Linked DNA regions of Sus scrofa. The protein of the gene in region 2 interacts with the protein of the main gene of each other region in a pairwise test. Links are inferred from orthologs where the notes say so. Each region holds a gene or a part of one and is shown on either strand. Other genes may lie near its edges. The genes, in order: CXCL16 and TMEM239.

What was found.
Region 1: the proteins of TMEM239 (region 2) and CXCL16 interact in a two-hybrid assay, tested with the Homo sapiens proteins (2 studies listed by BioGRID). The two-hybrid records come from large-scale screens. The link is inferred for Sus scrofa from reciprocal best matches to the Homo sapiens genes TMEM239 and CXCL16.

What each region holds. Positions count from the first base shown.
Region 1 is NC_010454.4:52,138,117-52,150,112, forward strand, and holds CXCL16 (C-X-C motif chemokine 16 precursor), read left to right. Parts: upstream 1-8,088; coding exon 8,089-8,152; intron 8,153-8,451; coding exon 8,452-8,590; intron 8,591-8,874; coding exon 8,875-8,957; intron 8,958-10,830; coding exon 10,831-11,250; intron 11,251-11,842; coding exon 11,843-11,889; 3' UTR 11,890-11,904; downstream 11,905-11,996. UniProt on the Homo sapiens protein: Acts as a scavenger receptor on macrophages, which specifically binds to OxLDL (oxidized low density lipoprotein), suggesting that it may be involved in pathophysiology such as atherogenesis. Induces a strong chemotactic response. Induces calcium mobilization.
Region 2 is NC_010459.5:32,833,330-32,843,802, forward strand, and holds TMEM239 (transmembrane protein 239), read right to left. Parts: upstream 5,761-10,473; coding exon 5,724-5,760; intron 5,605-5,723; coding exon 5,451-5,604; intron 5,360-5,450; coding exon 4,831-5,359; downstream 1-4,830. Other genes in the region: C17H20orf141 (uncharacterized protein C20orf141 homolog), read right to left, coding at 6,033-6,273, 6,358-6,626.

The DNA.
Region 1 (11,996 bases), on a different chromosome or scaffold from region 2:
CGGGAGTTCCTCCTGTGGCTCAGCGGGTCACACATCCAGGGCTGTCTGAGCTTTGGCTCAGGCTCCATCCCTGGCACGGTGGGTTAAGGATCCTGTGTTGCAACAGTGGTGGCATAGGTCAAAGCCTGGCCTGGGAACTTCTACATGCCAAAGGTGCGACTGAAAAAGAGGGAAAAAAAAAAAAATGAAGCAACTCCTTCATAATTATATTCCCAGTTTCAGTAACAAAAAACCCCCAAGAGTCATTATGCCCAGCCCACGGTTATGGGGATTTTTTTTTTTTTTTTTTTTTTTTTTTTTTTTTTAGGGCAGCACCCATGGCATATGGAGGTTCCCAGGCTAGGGATCCAATCGGAGCTGTAGCCGCCGGCCTACACCACAGCAGTGCGGGATCCGAGCCACGTCTGTGACCTACAGACCTACAGCTCACAGCAACGCCGGATCCTTAACCCACTGAGCAAGGCCAGGGATCGAACCCCCAGCCTCATGGATACTCCGGTTCATTACCACTGAGCCACAACGGAACTCCCAGGGAGTGATATCTTGAATGTCTGTTTTAGAAGGGATACTCTGGCTGATGTGAGACAAGATATAGTGGAGTTTGCGATGGGACTGGGCATAGACTGATGGGGTCTCAGTGACCAGCAGCATCTGACTCAGCCGGCGTTGGTTCTTTATGCAAACTGAAGAACTGGAGAAGGTGGGGTCAAGGGTTTCTAACTTGGAAAGCTGAGTGTCTGGGGTCTGTCACTGAATCTAAACCGAGGCTTGGAGTTCCCATTGTGGCGCAGTGGAAACGAATCCGACTAGGAACCATGAGGTTGTGGGTTCGATTCCTGACCTCGCTCAGTAGGTTGAGGATCCGGCGTTGCCGTGAGCTGTGGCATAGGCTGGCAGCTACAGTTCCAATTTGACCTCTAGCCTGGGAACCTCCATATACCATGAGAGCAACCCTTAAAAAAAAATAATAATAAAATAAAATAAACTGAGGCTTGCCTCTGCTCCTAGGAGGTTATATGCCTCCCGGGAGTCCCAGGCCACTGAGAAGCCACTTTCTATTTCTAGGTCTTTCTTTGCCTTGGATCTAGTCCCTGAGGGGTTACTGGTTGGGAAAATGACTTATCAACACCCGCATTAGAAGACGTTTAAGATTACCAAGGAGGAGCAGAATACCCAGTAAGAGAGGGCACCGCCATCAAGGAACTGAAAAAAGCTGGAGGAAAACGTCAGTCTTCAATTCGCTTCTCCTCTCCCCTTTTAAGGACCTAATTATGAGCGTTTGACTCGATGGTTTCAAACAGGTAATTTTATTCACCTTTTCGTGTTCCGCCAACCGGCCTCCCCCCTCGGTCTCGCATGTTTCGTGTTCCTCTCTGAGGCGTGTAGGGGGAGGCGGTGCACTGCTACCTCTCAGCCCTCACCGCCGCCGGCGGGACCCCCGCCCAGGTTTCTTTTCTCCCCGGCGCCTTCGGGCGGGGGCGGGAGGAGCAGCCGGAGTCGGGGCGGGGGGCGCCGGTACCGGCGCCGAGCGGGTGCCGCCGCCCTGCGGAGGCTTGTAGACCAGGTGGAAGATGAAGGCGTTGCAGTACCTGGCGGGGGGCGGGGGGGCGTGGCGCCTTCAGGGGCGGGGCCATGGGCGGGGTTTCCCGAGGGGCGGGGGGCGTGGCCCCCTGGGAGTTCCAGGGGTGGTGGGACGAGACTGCGGGCTCCACCCGCCCGAGGGTGGGTGGCAGGGCCCTTTTAAACGGGTGGGCGAGGAGAGATTGTGTGAGCCGGCTCTAAAGAGAGGTGTAGGGGCGTTGTCGAGGCCCGCCAGTGCGCTGGCTGGGAGTGCGAGCCGAGAAGGCACAGGGGTGGGGCTGGAGCCAGGAGGGTCCCAGACAACCAGGCAGAGGGGGGCCTTTTAAGACGCAGAGCCAGGGAGTGAGAAGGCCTCACCAGGGCATGCAGTTGTCGGCTGCTCTGAGGCGAAAGGGAGAGCGGAAAGGGTTGGGCTGCGGAGGGCTGGTACCCCCGCCTGTAGCCACCGCCATGGTCTGGTCGTCCATCACACAGCCGTACTCGCTGCTCTCGGTGAAGAAGGCCGGCACTCGGAGGGACTGGGGCGGGGGGGGGGGGCGAGGCCTCACACTCTCGGAAAGGCCCCCACCCCCTCAAATCTCCCAAGCACCAAGGACGGCAGCCCGGGTTGACAACTGCGGACCCAGACAGACTGGGAGAGGCACGAGGCAGATACGTAGAGGGGCAGGAGGACCCATGGGCTCGCCCCAGGTCTGTGGAGCGGATGATGGGGAAGAAGAGAATTTTTTAGAAGAGACTTTGGTCCCATCCCCCACCTGCAACCGGGGCAGCGAGCTCAGCCAAGTGTCCTTTAGACCAAAGCCGGAGTTAAATCCTGCGGACAGAGGGGGAGCAGGGAGAAGCTGGCTCCCATGGCCCCCTTCTCCCATCTTCCCCACCCTCCGGCCCCAGGCTCTTACCGATAACCAAGTCGGGTTTGGGCCCCTGCAGCAGGTGGTAGGGCCGCGAAGACACCTTGATCTGCAGGTCCCTGCGGCCGCCCTTCTCCCTCATCCCAGAGCTGAGCCGTGCTGATACCCCGGAACTGGGACGGACAGATCCTTCGGGGCCATCCTGGGGAGTTAGAAGTGGGTGCAGAAGCCAGTGGAAGTGAGGGTGCATCAGGTAAGATGGGGGAGAGGAGGCAGGGATCGGAAGGCCAGGGCCGGGTCAGAGGGCAGCAGGAGCGTCAGGGCTGAAGAGCAGGGCCCCCCTCCGCCCTCACCCTCTGCAGGGTAAAATGCTGCTGGTCACTCTCGGGGGGCAGGCCGTCACCCACAAACTGCAGCTCCAGAGCCACGTGGGGGAGCAAGACCAAGAGCTCCTGAGGGACAGAGAGAACAGATTTGGGTCCCAGCCTGCACCCACCTCCACACCCCACATGCCCAACCTTAAGGCCTGGAGGGACTTACCCAAAATACCATGACAAGGTCAAACTCCTTCCCGGCCTCCACCACATGGATTTTCAGTGACTGTTTGTTCTGGATGTTGAGCTCAGGGACTGGGTGATAAGCTCACCATCTAAGAATGTGGTCTCCCTCCCACCCCACCCCGACCGACCCCTACCAACTCCCTGCCCCCTCCCCCCACGGCCTGCATAGCTCCCCCTGCCCCCCCTCCTTACAGGACTGGGGCACCAAGTGGGTGATGACGTAGTACACAGTCAGCGGGTAGGTGAGAAGCACAGCCATGGGGGAGTCCAAGCCGAGGCCCCGCCATGTGTAGTAAGCCTGCCATGAGCCTGGGGAGAGTCTGTTACCAGGGACCTGGTCCCAGGCTTGATCCCCAACCCTTCCAGTCCAATAGTCTATTTCCTCAGCCACCCAGATGGCTGGCCTTCCAGTCCCTGTCCCTACCCCTGGCTCCCTCAGGGCCCCTCCAGCTCACCAAAGAGGCTCCTGGGTGGATCTAGGGGCACAGGAGGCATCAGGGCAGGCCCATCCCCCTGCAGAAGCTGGTAGGGATCTCCTGAGAGAATTAAAGAAGATGAGCCTGGCCTCAGGGAGCTCCCCACTCGGCCTCTCCTTCTTCCAAAGGAACTGTGTTCCCTGAGAGCCAGAGGGCCTGGATTGGCAGCAGGAGGAATGGGAAGCTGCCTCGGGATGGGGCTTCTGCATGCAGTGGGCCAGGGTGACTTTTTTGAGGGTTGGGGAAAGGCCCAAAGTGCCCGGTGCTGACGGTGGGTGGAGTTGGGTGTGTCTGCGGCGGGGTTTTCTAGGCCCCGACACCTTTGTGGGCTCCCATCCTTCCCTGTAGACAGAGGGGCCCCACGCACCGCTGAGAAGAAGGCTGAGGGATGGCGTGGTGCCACGGGGCTGTCTGGGGGTGCCAGGGCCTAGAATCAGCATGCTGAGTTGGGTCCAGTAGCCACGAGTGAGGCCCCGGGAGGCCAGGAAGGCCTCCTTGTTAAAGGTTTCACTGGTCACCTCTGGAGAAGGACGTGGGGAAGGGATGAGAGCACAGTGGCCAGGATTCCAGACTTGAACTCTCCCCAGTTGCTCCCCAGGACCCTAGGTCTGAGCCTGGTTCTGGGCAGGAAGAGAACTAACATTTCTGAGTATCTCCAGTGTAGCAGGCATGGAGCCCACAGAATCCTTAAAACAATTCCATGGATTTTAACATTTGTTTAACATCTCCCCATTTTACAGATGAGGAAACTGAGGTTCTAAGCCATTAAGGGATTTAAAGTCATCAGTTAGTGGTAGAGCAGGGAAACAAGTATTTGAATCCCCACTCCTGAATTCCCGAAGCTTTCTCAGGGACCATGGGCACTCGGGCTTCAGCTCCAGAGTTGCTGTCTCTAGCCCCAGGTGTCTAGCCCCCAGCCCCAAATAACCAGTGCCTAGCTGGGATCTATACTCCAGCCCCCCGGCACTTGGCCTTCAAGCCTAGCTTTCAAACCCAAGGCCCCAGGTCCAAAGACCTGGTCCCACTTCCCCCCGCCCATTCTGACCTCCTTATGGTACCTGCAGTGTAGGTAAAAGGTAGAGCTGCCAGTTCTCCAGCCCGCTCCATGAAGGCTGCAAGCCTTGGGCACCAAAATTGATGGCTCACATCATCTGGGCATCGCTTCCAATCCGCCCGGAGACAAGCCTCTCCACAGTATAAGACAGCACCACACTGGGGGCTGGGGTCACAGGGGGCAGTGGACACCCAATATTAGTCCTAGCAGGTCCCCTGTCTGCCATCCATCTGTCCTGCAGCTGTCTGTATGTCACTCAGTCTGTTCATACTCTCTGCGCCTATAATAGCTTGGGTTTTTGTTTGTTTCTTTGTTGGCCATCCTGCAGCATATGGAGCTCCCCAGCCAGCTGTAGCAATGCTGGATCCTTAACCCACTGTGCCGAGCTGGGAATGGAACCTGCGCCTCAGCGCTTCAGGGACGCCCCCGAACCCCTTGCACCACAGCGGGAACTCCCTGGGGTGTTTTTTTTTTTTTTTCATCACTGTGCTTCCCTGTCCCTAGCTCTGTCTTCCTCAGGGTCACCCACCAGCAGCCTGCTTCCTCTCTGTTTGCCTGACTGTTGGGGTCTTCCTCCCACTCACTCCATCTTTTTTTTTTTTTTTTGTCTTTTTGCCTTTTCTAGGGCTGCTTCCGCGGCATATGGAGATTTCCAGGGTCGAATCGGAGCCGTAGCCACCGGCCTACGCCAGAGCCACAGCAACGCGGGAGCCGAGCCGTGTCTGCAGCCTACACCACAGCTCACAGCAACACCAGATCCTTAACCCACTGAGCAAGGCCAGGGATGGAACCCGCAACCTCATGGTTCCTAGTCGGATTAGTTAACCCCTGTGCCACAACGGGAACTCCCCTCTCACTCCATCTTTGCAGGCCGCTCACCAGGGTGTCAGCTTCACTTCAAAGCTGTGCCTGTGACAAACGTGGCAGGTCCGAGCCCGAAGGGAGGCAAAGGTGAAGCCTGGCCGGGGACCCCATGTCCTCATTGGGGTCTTGGCTAACTTCACTCCCAGTCTGGGGACCAGATTCTCCAGCTCTCTGATGGGGAGTGGAGATGGAGTCAGGCAGGGGAGCTTAGGAGCCCGGGCCCCTAGGCCCTCCCCACCCTCCACCAGATATCTGTACCGATGCAGCCGGGCATCTCCCACGGTAAGCTGTCGGGGCCTTCGGGGGTCTCCAGAGCCCATGGGACAGGCCATGCTGTGGCAGAGGAGAGCATAGGCCCGAGGAGCCAGGTTCTCAGTCCCTGAGCCCCTGCCTGCAGTCCCCTGGGCTCCATCCATTAGCAGGTCAATGCCTAAGATGGTGCCGTGTTCATCTGTCACCAGTAGGAGGCAGGAAAGGTGCAGGGGGGCAGCCTCTGGGGAAGAAGGGAAGAGCCAGGGGCGGGTGGCAGCAGAGACGGTCAGGGCCAGGCACCCTGAGGGAGGGGACTAGGAGGAGAGGGCATGCTTCATCGGAAGGGGACAGATGCTGCGCAGCACCAGCATTTGCTGCCGGGGAATCGTGGTCCTGCTGATGGAACCTTAAATTTGTCTCGAGACTGTGTAACTAACTATAGATAAACTTCTGCAGCTTTTTTTTCTTTTGATGTTTACATAGTAGCCCAAATTAAAAGACAAAAAATCATTGTGGATCAATGGAAACACCTTTTCAGGCCAGACTGGCCTGAGGGCCACCCGTTGGTGACTCCTAGCTGGATTCTGAGGGGCACAGGAGGGCTCAGAAGGGGGGTAGGCCTGGGCAGGGAGCAGGGTAGGGCCACCCCTGGAGTCTTACCACTTCTCCGTCCCTTCCTCCTCTCAGGTTCGTCCTTTGCCCTGTCCTCTTGGCAGCCGTCCTCGCCACCTCCTGCCTCCTGCTTGGCCTCCTCCGGCTCCCCTGGAGGGTGTGCTTCCTGCGGGGACTGCCTGCTGGGAGGGGCTGCCTCCCCAGCCTCCTCTGTTTCTACCTTCTTGGTACCTGCACCCTCCTCCTCTCCGTTCTCTTCCTCCTCCTCCTCCCCTTCCTCCCCTTCCTCCAGGCTGACAAAACTGACATAGGGGCTTAGGTCTCGCAGGTGGAGTGGGGGCTCGTCTCCCAGGAGCCGGGCAGCCCCCAAGCCTGATCCTGGGCCGGCTCTGCCCCTTGCCCCAGGCTGATGCCCACACTGCGGTTGGGTAAGACGTGGAGCACCCAAAGGGCAGGGTCCTGGGGCAGCCTTCTGATCTGAGCCTCCAGCTGCTGCCAGCGGCCCTCGGGGCTGGTCCCCACAGCCCCACGCTCCGCCATGAACTTGTGGAACCAGCCAAAGAGAAGGGCAGCGAAATCAAGGAACTCATCACGGTATCCAGACACAAACTCCATGTCTTCAGGGGCACAGGACCTGGGCCCAGGCTGAGCAGAGGAATGGATATATGGTGAGGGAGAGGTATGGGGGAGAGTTTGGGGCTGGGTCTCAACAGGGGGGAGGGTGTGGGTTTAAGGGTCCCTTGCGGTGGAATCTGTGGGTGAGTGTTGGGATGGAGAATGGAGTTTTCAGGGCTGAGGATGGGAGTTCAGGATGAAAATGGGGGCCAGACGTGAAAGCGGGTGATGAGGGTTAAGGCTGAGTCGTCAGGAGGGAGATGGTATTTGAGGCTCAAATCCTCAAAGGTAGGGTTTGAGATGAGGCTAGAGGGAAGGGAAGGCCAATCCTATGGCAAAGGCTTTGGTGAGGGAAGAATTTTGGATCCGTCGATGGGTTTGGGAGGAGGGAGCAGGAGCCCGGGCTTCCCTTCGACTTGGAGCGGTTTGGCGGTGCGCCCCGGTACACGTAGCCCCTCCCGGCCGCTCCACTACTCCGGTACCTGCAGCCGCCACCTCTTTTCGAAGGTAAATACCTCGGGTTGGGGCGTGACGTCAGGGCGCCCGAGCCCCCAGCCCAGTCCTCGGGTGGCACGCCCCCTGCACCCTCGCGGCTCGGAGGCCGCCCCCAATGTGTCTTAAGGGACTGGGCGCGCGGACTGGCCTGCTGCCATCACGCCGGCGGTGTGATTGGATCCCGGCGCACCCAGACCCGGGCTGGGAAAGTGAGAGCCTCTCATCGCGGGGAGGGCGGGCTGGCGGGGCTGGCATTCCGGGACCGAACCGGATCAGCCCAGCGGGCACTGGCCGGGCAGCCTGGGCTTTTCTTTCGCTTTCTTTCGCCTTCGTGCATTCCTGGCTGCCCCTCGACGAGACTGGGCTGGGCGCGGGGGCGCGGGGGCGCGGGGGCGCGGGGGCGCGGGGGCGCGGGGGCGCGGGGGCGCGGGGGCGCGGGGGCGGGGCGCGGGGGCGCGGGGGCGCGGGGGCGCGGGCGGACGAGCTCCGCCTCCCGGAGTTTCCCCGCCGCCCAGGCTGGCGATCACGCGACTTCGACGGTACTGTCCGTTCGAGGCCCCGGGGGCGCCGGTGAGGGCGCCGGGAGGGAGGCGCGGCCGTTTCGCGCGCCGCCTTCGCCGATGGTCAGGCGGAGCGGGAGAAGGAAACGAAAGCTCCTGAGAAAGCAGCTGGACGCCAGGCTCCCGAGCTCGTCTGGGTGTCAGCCCGGGCGAGGCCGCCGGGAGAAGATGCCGCTCTGGGAACTCTGGTTCTTCTTGCTCGCACTCTTTCTAGCGTGGCTGACTCCACCAGGTTCGGGGAGGCCCCGGCTGGTGCCCAGATCCCCAAATCCCGGGAAAGGGGTGGGGAGCACTGGGTCCACGGGGTTGGGTTGAAGAAGCGGGGAGCCAGGGTCCCCAAGGACCAGCTGCTTGGGGTTGGGGAACAGGCTGGGGAACACCTGGGTCCAGGTGTGATTGCGGACGTACTTGCGGAGTGTGGTGTGTGGGTTGAACCTGGGGGCAGATCCTGAGGTCTAGGCGAGAGGCTGCACTGGGGCTCTGGGTTGGAGGCTGAGTCCAACCTGTGCTGACCGCCTCGTTCCCACTCAGGCAATGGCAACGAAGGCAGCATGGCTGGAAGTTGTCCTTGCAATAGAAGGATTTCTTCCCACTCCCCTCCGACCGATCACGACATGAGACATCTCCGGAAATACCTGAACCACTATCAACACTGTACTTCCTACGTCAGGTAATCTCACCCCCGGCGGGAAGGGCAGTGCCTCCCGGGGTCTCCAGGACCCTCTGTGGTCAAACTCGAACTCCTTCTGGGAGGAGCTCTGGCCCTCTCTCGGGGTTATCTTTGCCCTAATTCTCCACACCTTCGTTTCCCTGAATTCCCACCTGGAATGTCCGAGTCCCAGCAGAAACTGCCGAATCTTGGCAATGACCTCACTTCTTTGGAACGAGGAAAGAGCTGGGAAAGGGGTAGGAGGTGGAGAGGGGAGACCGCTGAGACTGAGTCCTTCCTCGCAGGTTCCAGCTACCCCGTGGGAGTGTATGTGGAGGCAGCAGTGACCAGTGGGTGCTGAAACTGATGGGCTGCTTTGATCGCGGAGGTGAGTCCCCTGCCCTCCACCAGGGGTCAGCAAGCTGGAATGCACTTTTTTTTTTTTTTTTTTTTTTGCCTCAGCCCTTAGTCACCTCACATTCCTATTCTGTGTACTTGCTTCTTCTTCTTCTTCTTCTTCTTTTTTTTTTTGCTTTTTAGGGCCGCACTCGCGGGATATGGAGGTTCCCAGGCTAGGGGTGGAATGGGAGCTACAGCTGCCAGCCTACACCACAGCCACCGCAATGCCCGAATCTTTTTTTTTTTTTTTTTTTTTTGTCTTTTTGTCTTTTTGCTATTTCTTTGGGCCGCTCCCACGGCATATGGAGGTTCCCAGGCTAGGGGTCGAATCGGAGCTGTAGCCACTGGCCTACGCCAGAGCCACAGCAATGCTGGATCCGAGCCGTGTCTGCAACCTACACCACAGCTCACGGTAACGCCGGATCGTTAACCCACTGAGCAAGGGCAGGGATGTTCCTAGTCAGATTCGTTAACCACTGTGCCACGACGGGAACTCCCGCAATGCCCGAATCTTAACCCACTGAGAGGGCCAGGATCGAACGAGTCCTCATGTATACTAGTTGAGTTCGTTACCACTGAGCTACAGTGGCAACTCCAAAGCAAATATATTTTATGGCATTTAAGTTCATGGCATTTTAACTCTATTTGCTTTATTGCACACCCATCTGTCTGTCCCCCTCCATCCCTCATCAGTCCAGCTACTATATTTTGGGCATTACCAAGCAAGTTGCAGGCTTGACTACACTTTATTCTGTGACATTTTGTCATGTATATTATTAAGAGTGTTTTATATTTTGTTGCTCCTTTTTTTTTCTTTTGAGGTAAAAATTGCAATGAAATGAGTAAATCTTAGGTGTACACAGCCACTTTTTTTTTTTTTTTTTTTTTGGCTGTGCCCATGACACATAGAAGTTCTGAAGCCAGGGATCAAACCCATGCCACAACAGCAGCCTGAGCCACAGCAGTGACAATGCCAGATCCTTAATCTGCCGTGCTACAGGAGAACTCCTGCACAGCCACTTTTGAAAAACTTAATGTCAGCTTGTCCTAAGCAAAAGCATTTGTGAAGTCACAAATTTCATATGTTGGTTGTATTTTTCTCCTAAAATAAATACACAAGCAGTAAAACACAACATGTCCTTCCATGGAGTTCCCATTGTGGCTCAGTGGTAACGAACCGGACTAGTATCCATGAGGAGGCAGAACTGATCCTTGGCCTCGCTCAGGGGGTTAAGGATTTGGCATTGCTGTGAGCTGCGGTGTAGATCATAGATGAGGCTTGGATCGGGTGTTGCTGTGGCTGTGGTGTAGGCTGTCAGCTGCAGCTCTGATTTGACCCCTAGCCTGCGAACCTCCATGTGCCATGGTGTGGCCCTAAAAAGACCAAAACAAAACAAAACAAAACAAAAAAAAACACAAAAGGTACTTCCAGGTCCCAGCTAAAGCTGTCTTCTGTAGTGTTGGTGGTCCCCATACTGCCTTTTGGCTGTGTAGACTCATTATTTCCTTTACTCTTCCTGGCTACTCTGGCCCTTGGTACTAAAATGATCCTTACTTTACAGCTGAAAGAAATGAATCCCAGACAGGTTCAGAGACAAGGGGCAGAGCCACAGCTACCTTGTAGCAGAGCCTGGGTTCCAGCTCAGATCTCCTGACTTCCCGGTTCAGAATGCACACTCGCCCCAGTGGTTCCACATTGTGGTTTGCTTACTTCCTTCTCCCTGTTCTCCCTCTGCCCCTGCCTTCCTTTTCTGGCCTTTACCTGTTCCCTTGATGGTCCCCTTGACCCGCTCCCCTCCCTCCTACCTACTTCTACACCTTGTCTCCTCATCGTCTTGATTCCTTGCTTCTTGCCTCTACAGAATGTGGACGTGCTCATGCCAGAACGGTGGCCCACCAGCAGCATTTAGCTCCTCAGAACACCCGGGTTCCTGAACTCCCAGAAAGGGCACCTCCAGACAGTAGCACCCCTGCCCAGACGAATCTGCCATCTACCCTGCAGCCGACCCAGAAGCCCACGCTTCCAGAAGGCATGCCATCCTTGGCCAAAAAGCTCATCCCCACCAGTGAAACCGACACATCCACTGTGGGCCACAGTCTGGGGGCTAAGTCTGAGGCCAGGGAGAACCAGGAGCAGCTAGGAAAAAATGTGGGTGCTACAGCGGGAACATCAGCCCTGGTGCCAGTGCTGTCCCTCTTGGTCATCATTTTCCTTCTCACCGGAGTCCTACTTTACGTGATGTGCAAGAAGAGGCAGGAGCAGTCACGTCAGTACCCTCCAGGTAAACTGGGCCTCTCATCCCTCCTCCAGGGACCCAGAGCCCTCCTGGCAAGGATCCTGTCCTTGGTAGCTCCAGGCAGACAAACATGGAGGGTGTCTGCACCGTGGATGAAAGGCCAGGGAGGGAAGAGTCAGCCAGACCGCGGATGGGGAGGGAGGGAAGCCACCATAGCCTCAGGGACCAGTGCTTGGCCTTCAGAGCCAGGCTGTGCTTAGAGCAACATCAGGAGGGCAGCTGGGGGTGCTCCTTGGTGGCCTAGCAGTTAAAGGATTTGGCGTTGTTACCACCATGGCGTGGGTTCAGTTCCTGGCCTGGGAACTTCTGCATGCTGCGACTGTGGCCAAAAAAACCCAACCAACCAAAAAAAAAAAAAAACAGATGGCAGCTGGGGCAGCCTAGTGGGAGATGAAGCTGTGGAGGAGTGGAGGAGCCATTTATTCAACTCATAAGTCTTTACTGAGCACCTACTGTGTACCTGGTCATATAGTTAATGTTTTGGAATCTGATTGCCCAGTTCAGCTATCACCTCCGCTCCCTCCCCTGCCCCTCCAACTTCTCAGAGCTCATCTCTCCATTTCTTTCTCTGTTTTAGATCCTCAGCTTCATTATGTTCCTGTGGCATCAAATATCAACACCTGAGCTAAGGATGAAAGCTTGTGAGGGTATAATGTGATTTAGTTACTATCAAGTGCATTTACTACATTAGAACAATCACTGGTACATGGTTGGGACACTCTACGTATCTG
Region 2 (10,473 bases):
CTTAACCCACTGATGGAGGCCAGGGGTCGAACCTGCCTCCTTATGGATACTAGTCGGGTTCGTTAACCCCTGAGCCACAACAGGAATTCCCAAGGTTTTATTTTTAAGATGGAAAATATTTGAAAGGCAATAGAGATATTTGCTCAGCAGAAAATAGTTTTCCAAGAGTTCCCTGGTGATTCAGTGGGTTAAGGATCTGGCCTTGTCACCGCTGTGGTAAGATCCCGGCTGGGAACTTCCACTCACCATGGTCCAGGCCTAAAAAAAAAAAAGGAAGAATAAAGAAAATAGCTTGTCCAAAGTTGGTTGCCTCCAGATCCTCATAGAACCTCACAAAAGACAAAAGACAGCTCTTTACCCCAGGAAGAATGGAATAATAGACTAGGGTGAGGACAGCAGTCCCAGAAGGTGAAGCCTGCTAGTTTGGGCTCTCCCTTCTCCAGGATGCTCATGAGCTCTGGCCTCGATGCCTCTTGGTTTCTGGCTGGGGGACCCAGTCTAGAGATTTGGGTTAAGGAGAAATCGAGGAGTCAGTAAAGTCTCCACTGGAAAGACAATGGGCCAGAGATGCTTCTCCAGGGCCCCAGGATCTACCCTCTCCCCCACTACCGGTGTCTCGGCTCTTGAGACACCCGTCCCCCGCATCTTTCCCTTCCCACAACCCCTGAGTCCGACTGGGTTAACCAGAGCTGGAGATCTCTGCCAGGACGGAGCGCCTCGCACAGAATCCTAAGGCTGCGATTCCAAGGGTGGGGGAGGGAGGGTGTCGTTGACGAGGATGGCAAGCGCCTTCCCTGTGTGGGTGCCCACAGCCCTCCGATCCCTGGCCTGGCTCGGGGTGTCCTCCCCACGCCAGATCCTTGCCCACCCCGCTCTGCCTCCGCGGTCTACCCGTCAGCTCGGCGTTCTCCAGTGGTCGCCCCGACTTCTCTCCCGGGCACCTGAGCCTAGGGGACTACGCAGGGTCCCGCTCCTGGGGCGACCTCCCAGCGCAGCGCAGCGCAGCGCAGGCCGCCTCCTCCGCCTTCCCAGACCCCAGGATCCAGTCGCCGCCCCCCTCCTCTGAGGCCTGCGGCTCCCCTCCCCCGAAGCGAATGACTGAGCCGCCCACTCCCCCGACCCCCGCTGAGCACGGGTCTGAATGGGAGCACCCTCTCCCGGCTCCCCCTTGCTGGCCCTGAGCGGTTTTCCCAGCGCAGCACCGCCTCGTTCCAGGGACCCCTCTCCTGCCCTCCAGGGTGGCCACAGACAACTCCATCTCAAATGGAGGCCCCATCCTTAAGAGCCCTCTTGACTCTGCCCTCCCAGACCCTCCGCGTCCCGAAGGCGCCTACTCGTTGCTCCCTGGTCCTTGTGGGCAGAGCAAAGTCCTACTGGGAGCTCCTGCTCCTAGGCGCCCCCAGGGAACGTGAATGCGGGGGTGCGGCTCTGAATCCCCTCTCTGCTTTCTCAGATGCAAGGCCCTGGGCGGCTGGACACCTCCTCCGCGCGTTTCTTCTGCTCCGCCTAATCGCATTCTTTTCCTGGCCAGGCCCCACTGGTTACTTGATCCCCACCCCTACCCCAGCCCATCTGAGTGAGCTTCCGGGTCGGGAGGGGAAGGGCCGGCAAATAAACCCACCCAACCGCCTAGGTTACCAGGCCAGTGGGACAGCTCTCCCTTCTTGGCCCAAACAGAAATGCTTAGAACTATATTCTAGCATGCTCATTCACCCCAGGCTTACATTTTAAAGCATTTTAAATCTAAACGGATGACTTTGTCTATATTTCATTTCATAATGGTATTATGTTCATGATATATACGTATGTTTGTGTCTGCAAGGTCCCTCACTCTATTCCCTTTAATCTGTATGCTCCACTCTCATTTGCCTGGCCCTGGAATTGGCCATTCCATTCTGTTTTTGTTCTTACTTAAAACAAAAAAAGTTGGTTTTGCTAGCATGCATTTTTTTTCTTGGTGGGGCACACCCTTGGCGTATGGAAATTCCTGTGCCAGGGATGGAATCTGAGCCACGGCTGGGCTGCGATTTACACCGCAGTTGTGGCAACACAGGATTCTTAACGCACAGTGCTGGGCAGGGATGGAAACCACGCCTCAGCAGTGACCCGAGCTGCTGCAGAGACAAGCCAGATCCTTAACTCACCATGCCACAGCTGGAACCCTGCCATGCATTTTAAATTTGCATAAAAAGAATTGTATTATTTCTCATTCAGCTTCTTCTCAACGCTACACTTTCAAGATCAGTCCAGATGGCTTCCACCCCTTCTAGCTGCTGCCTCTTCTCCAAGTGTTTATTCACTGTATTTTAACTTTTCCATGTCCTGCAGTCACCATTCTCAAAGGTGGCAACATCTTCTCACCTGGAGCCCTTCTCCAACAGTGTGCACCTGTGTCACCTGGGAGTCTCGTCAAAACACAGGCTCTGATTCATCAGGTCTGGAATGGGGCCTGAGACTCTTCATTGCTAGCCGGTTTCCAGGTGATGTCTATATTCCTGATCCTGGGACCATACGTTGAGGAGTTAGGCCATTATGGGCCTCTGTGAGTATTCATTTTTGCCTTCTGGGTCATAGGGTATGCATTGATTTAATTCGGTAAGTATTACCCGTCTGCTGGCTCCAGTCTGGCTGTGCCACCTTACCCCACACCAAGCAATGCAGGAGGTGTGTGGGGAAGAGAGGAAGGCCTTCTCCTTGCTCCTGCCAAAATCCGAACCCCCAGTGTGTCTGGTCTTGCCCCCCACCTTTTCTTTTGCTTTTTTAGGGCTGTACCCATTGCATATGGAGGTTCCCAGGCTAGGGGTCAAAGTGGAGAGCTGAGGCCGCCGGCCTATGCCACAGCCACAGCAACGTGGAATCCGAGCCACATCCTTGACCTACGCCACAGGTCACAGCAACGCCGGATCCTTAACCGACTGAGCAAAGCCAGAGAGCCAACTCGAGTCATCATGGATGCTAGTTGGGTGTGTTAATGGCTGAGCCACGAGGGGAACTCTTTAAACCTCCTCTCTTAATCAGAATGACCCCAAGGCTCCTGAGTGATGTCCATGGCCAGCAATGTACAGCCAAGTCAATGAGGGACTCAAGACTGGTATCCTGGCTTCATCGCTGACAGAAACTTTAAGAACAGGCATTGAGAAGCCCTGAGGTTTTCAGTTAGGCTATATTTCCTCCATCGCTTTCCCCATTAGAGTGAATTAGGACTCAAACAACCTGGCCTTGCCCTTGCCAGTTGCTATTTTGTGGCTGACTTCTCACCTCCAAATGGGAGAGTAACAGTGTAGCTGCAGTTTGTGGTGTGGTGGGTCTTAGCTATCTATAAAGTGCCTTACTTGTAAGAACTCATCGCCTACTGTTTTGTTTGGAGGGTGAGCTGATGGGTGAACAGGCAGCATCCTGGGCACGAAGGGATGTCATTTTCCAAGGCCCTCTTGGGGGCTGGAAGCAGCTTTTGGGGTTGGTTTAGAAACCCATGGGCTATGGTTTTCCCACTCACACAGCCGGGCAAGCATCTCCTGGCACCAAGGCCCAGCCCCAAGCATTTCACAATCAGAAGAGTTCAACATCGGCGTATTTTGAGACTTCATGGCATACAACCTTTTTTTTTTGTTTGTTTTTTTGGTCTTTTTTTGCCATTTCTTGGGCTGCCCCCGAGGCATATGGAGGTTCCCAGGCTAGGAGTCTAATCAGACCCTAATCAGGAGTCTAATCAGCCTACGCCAGAGCCACAGCAACTCGGGATCCGAGCCACATCTGTGACCTACACCACAGCTCACGGCAACGCCGGATCCTTAACCCACTGAGTGAGGCCAGGGATTGAACCCGCAACCTCATGGTTCCTAGTCGGATTCGTTAACCACTGAGCCATGATGGGAACTCCCATGGCACACAACCTTTTACCTCTTGTTCACACCCATCCATCCTCTGTTTACCATTGTATGGTCCAAACTGTATCTATGCCAGAACATTTCTCTGAAGCCCTGGAGAAGCTTTCTGCTCTTTAGAGTTTCTTATCTTCTGGCTTGTTGGCCTTTATACAAAGTCCTTCACACATTGGTATTATTGCCTTTGACTCACAACAGCTCCATGACAGGACCCACTTTATACCAAGGCTCAAAAGAATTAATTGGCGAAGGCCACACATTGCGTAGGTGGGTGAAATGGGACTTGTTTTTCCCTAGCAAACCTAGGGAGTCTTAAGCCGTAGGTGCTCTCTGGGAACCTCATGACCCTTGTTGGCCCATTTCCCAGACTTGAGGATGTAGACTGAGGCAGGAGGTAGGAAGTCTAGGGAGTGGGGAATGGATGGGCAGAAAATCTGGGAGGAGGCTTGGCTGAGGTCTCATGTGGCTTCTGGCCGGCCCTCTCCCAGCCAAGTTTCTGTCACTGGGCTCTTTCTAGAGCCTGGGGAAGGGGAAAGACGGGCTTGGCGGGGTGAATGACAAGTCCAGGGGCACCCAGGTAGATGTTCTCTGTGAGCTCGAAGCGGAGACAGTTGAGCAGCTGCAAGGAAAAGATGCTGCCAGCTGCTAAGGGTGTCCCAGGGGTGTCACCACATGCACGTGGGAGCTTTGGGTGGCCTGGCCTAGCTCTGCTCCCAGCTCAGCCTTCTGCCCTATGCCCTGGCCCCCCATACCAAGTACCTGGAGGATCAGCTTGAGAGAGATGCCCCTACCCTGCCAGCAGGCCCTGACCAGCCCCAGCTAGGGACTGAAGGTCTGGAGCCTGCCGAGGCAGGAAGGCCCTGGTCCCACTGCCCTCCCTCTCCCCTGGGCCTCGGGCCCTAGGCCAGGGCTCAACAGACACAGGCAGCAGGATGGGGTCGCCCTTCTATTGGTCCAAGTCCTGAGCAAGGCCTGGGTGAGACATGGAGGTGAGGAGGCCCACGAGGCTCAGCAGCGTGGAGAACAGCAGCAGGAAGGAGGCCATGAAGAGCAGGGCGGGGAGGGCACTGAGCGCCAGCAGCAGGACAGCCGGCAGCAGATGGCGCCACGCTGCAGCCACCACGGGCCACAGGGAGCTCAGTAGGTGGGAGCCGGTGGTGAAGAGTGCATGGCAGAGCATCAGCGCCAGCAGCAGGTAGAGGATCCCTTCCAGACCCCACAGCACACGCTGCAGCGGCTGCCGCCAGCCCGATGTGATCCACCACTGGGCCCAGCTCGGGGGCATGTGGCACATGCACCAGCGCACCCAGCTGTCCCGTGTGAGCCAGGCCGTCCAGGGCACAGCACGCTGTGGCCCCTCACCGGCTCCGGTGGCATCTGTCTCCACTCGCAGCTGCTGCATCACGGCTGGTGCACCTGGGGAGAGGGCCAGGCCAGCTGCAGGAGCAGCCCTGGAGATGCCTGGGACCTCAGGATGGGTGGGTGGGGGTGGTAGCAGGGGTCAGGAGGGTACCAGCATGGGTGGGGTGGGGCTTGGAGCTGGGGCCTGGGTCTTACCTCCTGGCAGAGCCACCTAAGTCATGTTGCTTCTTGCAGCGCCCAGGACGGCCTGGCAGCCAGAGTTGAGCTCCCACTCTCACTCCCCTCACCCTCCCCAGAGGAGCCCCATTGTGACCCGGGCTGGGGTGGGGTCCAGCCAAGAGAGGGTGTGAGCATGAGCCTTACCTGAGCCTCTCTCATGGACTCTCTGGACTGGCAGGGGAGTTTCTCATGCTTCCTTGTGGGAAGCCCTCTCCGGATCCCCTCATCCCTTCCCTGCTGGCTGATATCCAGTCCCACTCTGCTCTCTTGCAAGTCTTTCTCTCTGGACCCTCATTCTCTAGAACCACCCAGGAGGCCAGACTAGCCACCCCAACCTACGGGCTCTGAGATGGCTACCACATCCTCCTCTGGGCTCCTTGTCCTTTATCTCGGTTTTGGCCGATGTCCTCGGACTCAGACCTAGGTATCCACTGTCCCTATTGTGGGAGCAGAGGTTCCCCTGGGGTTCAGGCTGGAGGAGAAAGAGTATCCTTCCATCTGCCCAGCCCAGGGTGGAGGAAAGAAGGCCTGAGGAAATAGCATGGCCAGTGTATTTCTGGAGGACACTCAAGCCCAAGGATGGAGACAGAAAGCCAGGGCTAGCAGGGTCAAGGGCATGCCACGGGCTCCCAGGAGGAGCCCCAGGCCCAAGAGCAGCATCAGCAGAGCCTCCTGGAGGGCGAGTTGTCCTGTGCCCACCGTGGGCAGGAGTAGAGCCTCCACTTGTCCCGGACCCTCGCCGGCGCCCTGACTCTGGCCCCCTGTGAGACGTGGATGTGTGTGCTGTGGCCAGGTGGGACCTGCAGGCCTGTGGCGAGAAAGGGTGGCAGCTGGGCTTTGGGAGGTTGACCACTTGTGCACCTGCCCGCCTGCTAAGCTGCTGTGCACTTACCGGTGGAGCAGATCGAAGGCCAGGAAGCTGACGAGTAGCAGCAGCAGCAGCAGTGAGGCTGGGCCAGTTGTGGAAAAGACGGCCCAAATTGTCAGCCCCAGTGCCCCCAGCCCTAGGACACTGTCCAGGAGCTGGGCTGGGCTAGGGCCCCCAGGAGACACACATGGACCCACTGGGCTACCCGATCCTTCCCCAGCACCCAGGCCCCTGGGAAGGCCTGGGATAGAATAAGCAGGGCCCTTGGGCCTGGATGAGCAGAGCTGGGTCATGGAGGGAGCTGGCAGTTACAGCAAGGAATGGGGAAGGGTAGGAATCTGGGGGATGAGACCATGGGGGAGGGCGATGGGGGGCCCTGGCGGACACTCAAGGGTGAGCTCAAGCAGTGGAGAGCTGGGCTTCTCGGGAATCTCCTCCTCCCCACACACCCACCCACCAAACCCTCCTCATCTCCTCCCACTTGGGTCAGCCATTCTGGGGGGCTGGGTAGCCGGAGCATTGTGACTTATTGCCTGGGGGGCCCTGGGGTAGGGAGGGGGCTGCTGCTGGCTCTGGCCTCCTAAGTAGCTGCTGTGGCTTGATAGGAGGAAGCCTGACTTTGGAGAACTAAAGACTCATCCTCTTGCCTTTGCTAATCGTCCACTCTAGGGCCCTCCCGTGGGGATCTGTGTTGCTGGGAAGACATTCTAACCCCATCACTGTATGGGCAGCTCTCCAAGGGAGGAAGGGCTGCTTTCTTTGCCTTATGAGCTTCCTGGGCTGTGTGTCCAGGGGCAAGTGACTCAATCAGTCTGTCCCCAGCTCTCTCCCCAGAGAGTAGGATGATGCCAGTGGGCTCTTGTGGGGGATTTTTCAGAACTGCAGTCCTGGAATGCAGAGATAGACTCTGCCAGGAAGCAACCTGAGGCTTTCTGGGGCAGGGTTCCCATATGACCTGGTAAATGGGCCAGAGGGGGTGGGGTGGGGTTGACAGGAGGGGCCTCTTTAGACGTTTGAAGCACTGTGGTTTGCGGGAGGTGTTCTGGATACTGGGATTCCAGAAATGGCACTGAGAAGGTGAATGAAAGAGGGCCATAACCTGATAATCCCCAAACTGGAGATTACGTTTACCTTCTGAGGATGAAATTAGGGAACATGAACATGTATGAAGGGGTCAGTCACCGGGAAAAGAAAACTCTCCACTGCGAATCCGTAAATGGTTACAGAAGTTCCAGCACATCTCTGTTTAGAGACTTAAGAGGTGAGAGTGGAAATGGGTCATCACTGAGAGAGCTTAATTCCTGTTTACATATCATACTTTGAAGGAAAACTGATAGGGGCAGGGGTAGGAGGACAGTGGCCATACAACCTCCAGGAGAGGAGGAGACAGAGAAGAATCCAGCTTCGGAGTTCCCGTTGTGGCTCAGTGGTTAATGAATCCAACTAGGAACCATGAGGTTGCAGGTTTGATCCCTGGCCTTGCTCAGTGGGTTAAGGATCCAGCATTGCTGTGAGCTGTGGTGTAGGTTGCAGACACGGCTTGGATGTGGCGTTGCTGTGGCTGTGGCTGTGGTGTAGGCCGGCAGCTATAGCTCTGATTAGACCCCTATCCTGGGAACCTCAATATGCTTGGAGTGCTGCCCTAAAAAGACAAAAAGACCAAAAAAAAAAAAAAATCCAGGTGCACATCTGCCTCCAGTGGGTTCTGAACAAAGACTCAAGCCTGGTGGCCTTGACACCTTTGGTGGGAATGGGCTCAATAGTCCATAGCGCCAATGCCACCAGCCCTTGGGACCATTCATTGATTGCCTTTTCCTGGTTCTTCCCAAAGCAATAAAGCACGACATTCCAACTTAGTAACACATATCTGTCTAAATGACTATCAAGTGTGAGGGTAGAATAAGGACATTTTAAGCCAGACAAGGTCTTAAAAATTTGACCTTGTATACATTTTTTTTTTTTTAAAGGAAGCTACTGGAGGATGTGCCTCAGAAAAATAAGGACTTGAACTAAGAAAGATGACAATATAGAATTTTAAGAAGTGAGGTTAAATACAGGAGAACGATGATGAGAAAGGCTTGGGGTGTCAGCTGTGTTTCTAGATGAACAAAGCAAGCAACCTAGCCTGGAATCAAAAGATAGATGTTCCAGGAAGGACATCTGCTGATTATCTGCTATTTTTAGACGGATGTAAAATAAATGTTCAGTTCTATTGGAAGCTTTGGGATTGAATTAACAATTGGAGCCTAGAAAACCAAACAAAAATGATAAAACAAAGTAATTGCTAACTCCAGCAAACACAGAAAGTTGAACAATAAAACTTACATGGTCATAGTGTAATCACTGAATATTGACTGCAGTGATTTAGCTCATTTTGGGAGGATGGTAAGAGGGAAAAAGTATAAGTCTGGGTATTTTGGTGTGTGTTGGGGATAAGGGTAGTAGGAAAGCTAAATCCTTAATTCCACAGCAGGAAATCCACGATAAAATCCAAACATAAAAATCCAAGAAATAGCGATAGAAACATAAAGGTAAATACAAGAAGTAAGAGACAGAACTAAAAGTGGTTGACTTGGGAATAGAGAAGCATGGAAAAGAGTCTTCTATTTCTAGCCTAAGTGTGATTTACCTTTAAAATTATTTTCTGCGGTAGTTTGGTAAAAATGATTTAGTTTACAAAGAAAATCAGTTGCAAAGGTCGCAACTGCAGCTCTGATCTGATCCCTGGCTTGGGAACTCTGTATGCTGTGGGGCAGCCCAAAAGGATCCTATGGTGAAGATCAGGAATATACTCTCCCAGGATGAATGAAATAGCAATTTCCTAATGTTACATAGGTGTACTCTGTGGCTTGACATAAAATTTCCAGTGACAGCATCAAACACCATCAAACTCAGAAAGCTGTGAAGCTCATGCATTTTTGATGGAGCTGCTTTAAACCTCCATCTAGTGCATCTCGACCTTTAATGTGCACGGTGAATCTTCTGGGGTTGAATCCTCTGCGGATCTTGTCAAAATGCAGATTCTGGTTCTGGAGGTATGTGCAGGATTCTGGCTTTTTTTTTTTTTTCTTTTTGCCTTTTCTGGGGCTACGACCACGGTATATGGAGGTTCCCAGGCTAGGGGTCGAATGGGAGCTGTAGCCGCTGGCCTATGCCAGAGCCACAGCAACACCAGATTCGAGCCGCGTCTTCGACCTACTCCACAGTTCACAGCAATTCTGAATCCTTAACCCACTGAGTGAGGCCGGGGATGGAACCCGCAACCTCATGGTTCCTAGTCGGATTCATTAACCACTGAGCCACGAAGGGAACTCCAGGATTCTGTATTATTTTATTAATTTATTTTGCTTTTTAGGGCCACACCCATGGCATATAGAGGTTCCCAGGCTAGGGGTCGAATCCGAGCAGTCGCTGCTGGCCTACACCACAGCAACGCTGGATCCTTAACCCAATGAGCAAGGCCAGGGATCGAACCTGCGTCCTTATGGATGCTAGTCAGATTCTTTAACCCCTGAGCCACGACGGGAACTCCGATTCTGCATTTCTTTTTTTTTTTTTTTTTTGTCTTTTGTCTTTTGTTGTTGTTGTTGTTGTTGTTGCTATTTCTTGGGCCGCTCCCGAGGCATATGGAAGTTCCCAGGCTAGGGGTTGAATCGGAGCTGCAGCCACCGGCCTACGCCAGAGCCACAGCAACGCGGGATCCGAGCCGCGTCTGCAACCTACACCACAGCTCACCGCAACGCCGGATCGTTAACCCACTGAGCAAGGGCAGGGACCGAACCCGCAACCTCATGGTTCCTAGTCGGATTCGTTAACCACTGCGCCACGACGGGAACTCCCGATTCTGCATTTCTAACAAGATCCCAGGTGGAGTAAAGATCTAGAAGACGTTGATGTACAAAAGAGAGTGGTGAGGGGAGAGGGGCATATGGGGAGCCCGTATGGGGTTTTGGCGGGAGCTGGAGCAGCCCTCAGGACCTCTACAGACCCTGTTCTAGCTCCATCACAGCTTCTCCTGGTCTCCTACCTCCGCGAAGCCTGGAGCCGCAGTACCGTCTTTCTGCCACTGACCCGGCCCGGCGCTTTCAGGGACCCTCTGCTTCAGCGCGCCCCCTTGAGTTTTTCTAAATCGTCCCCTGG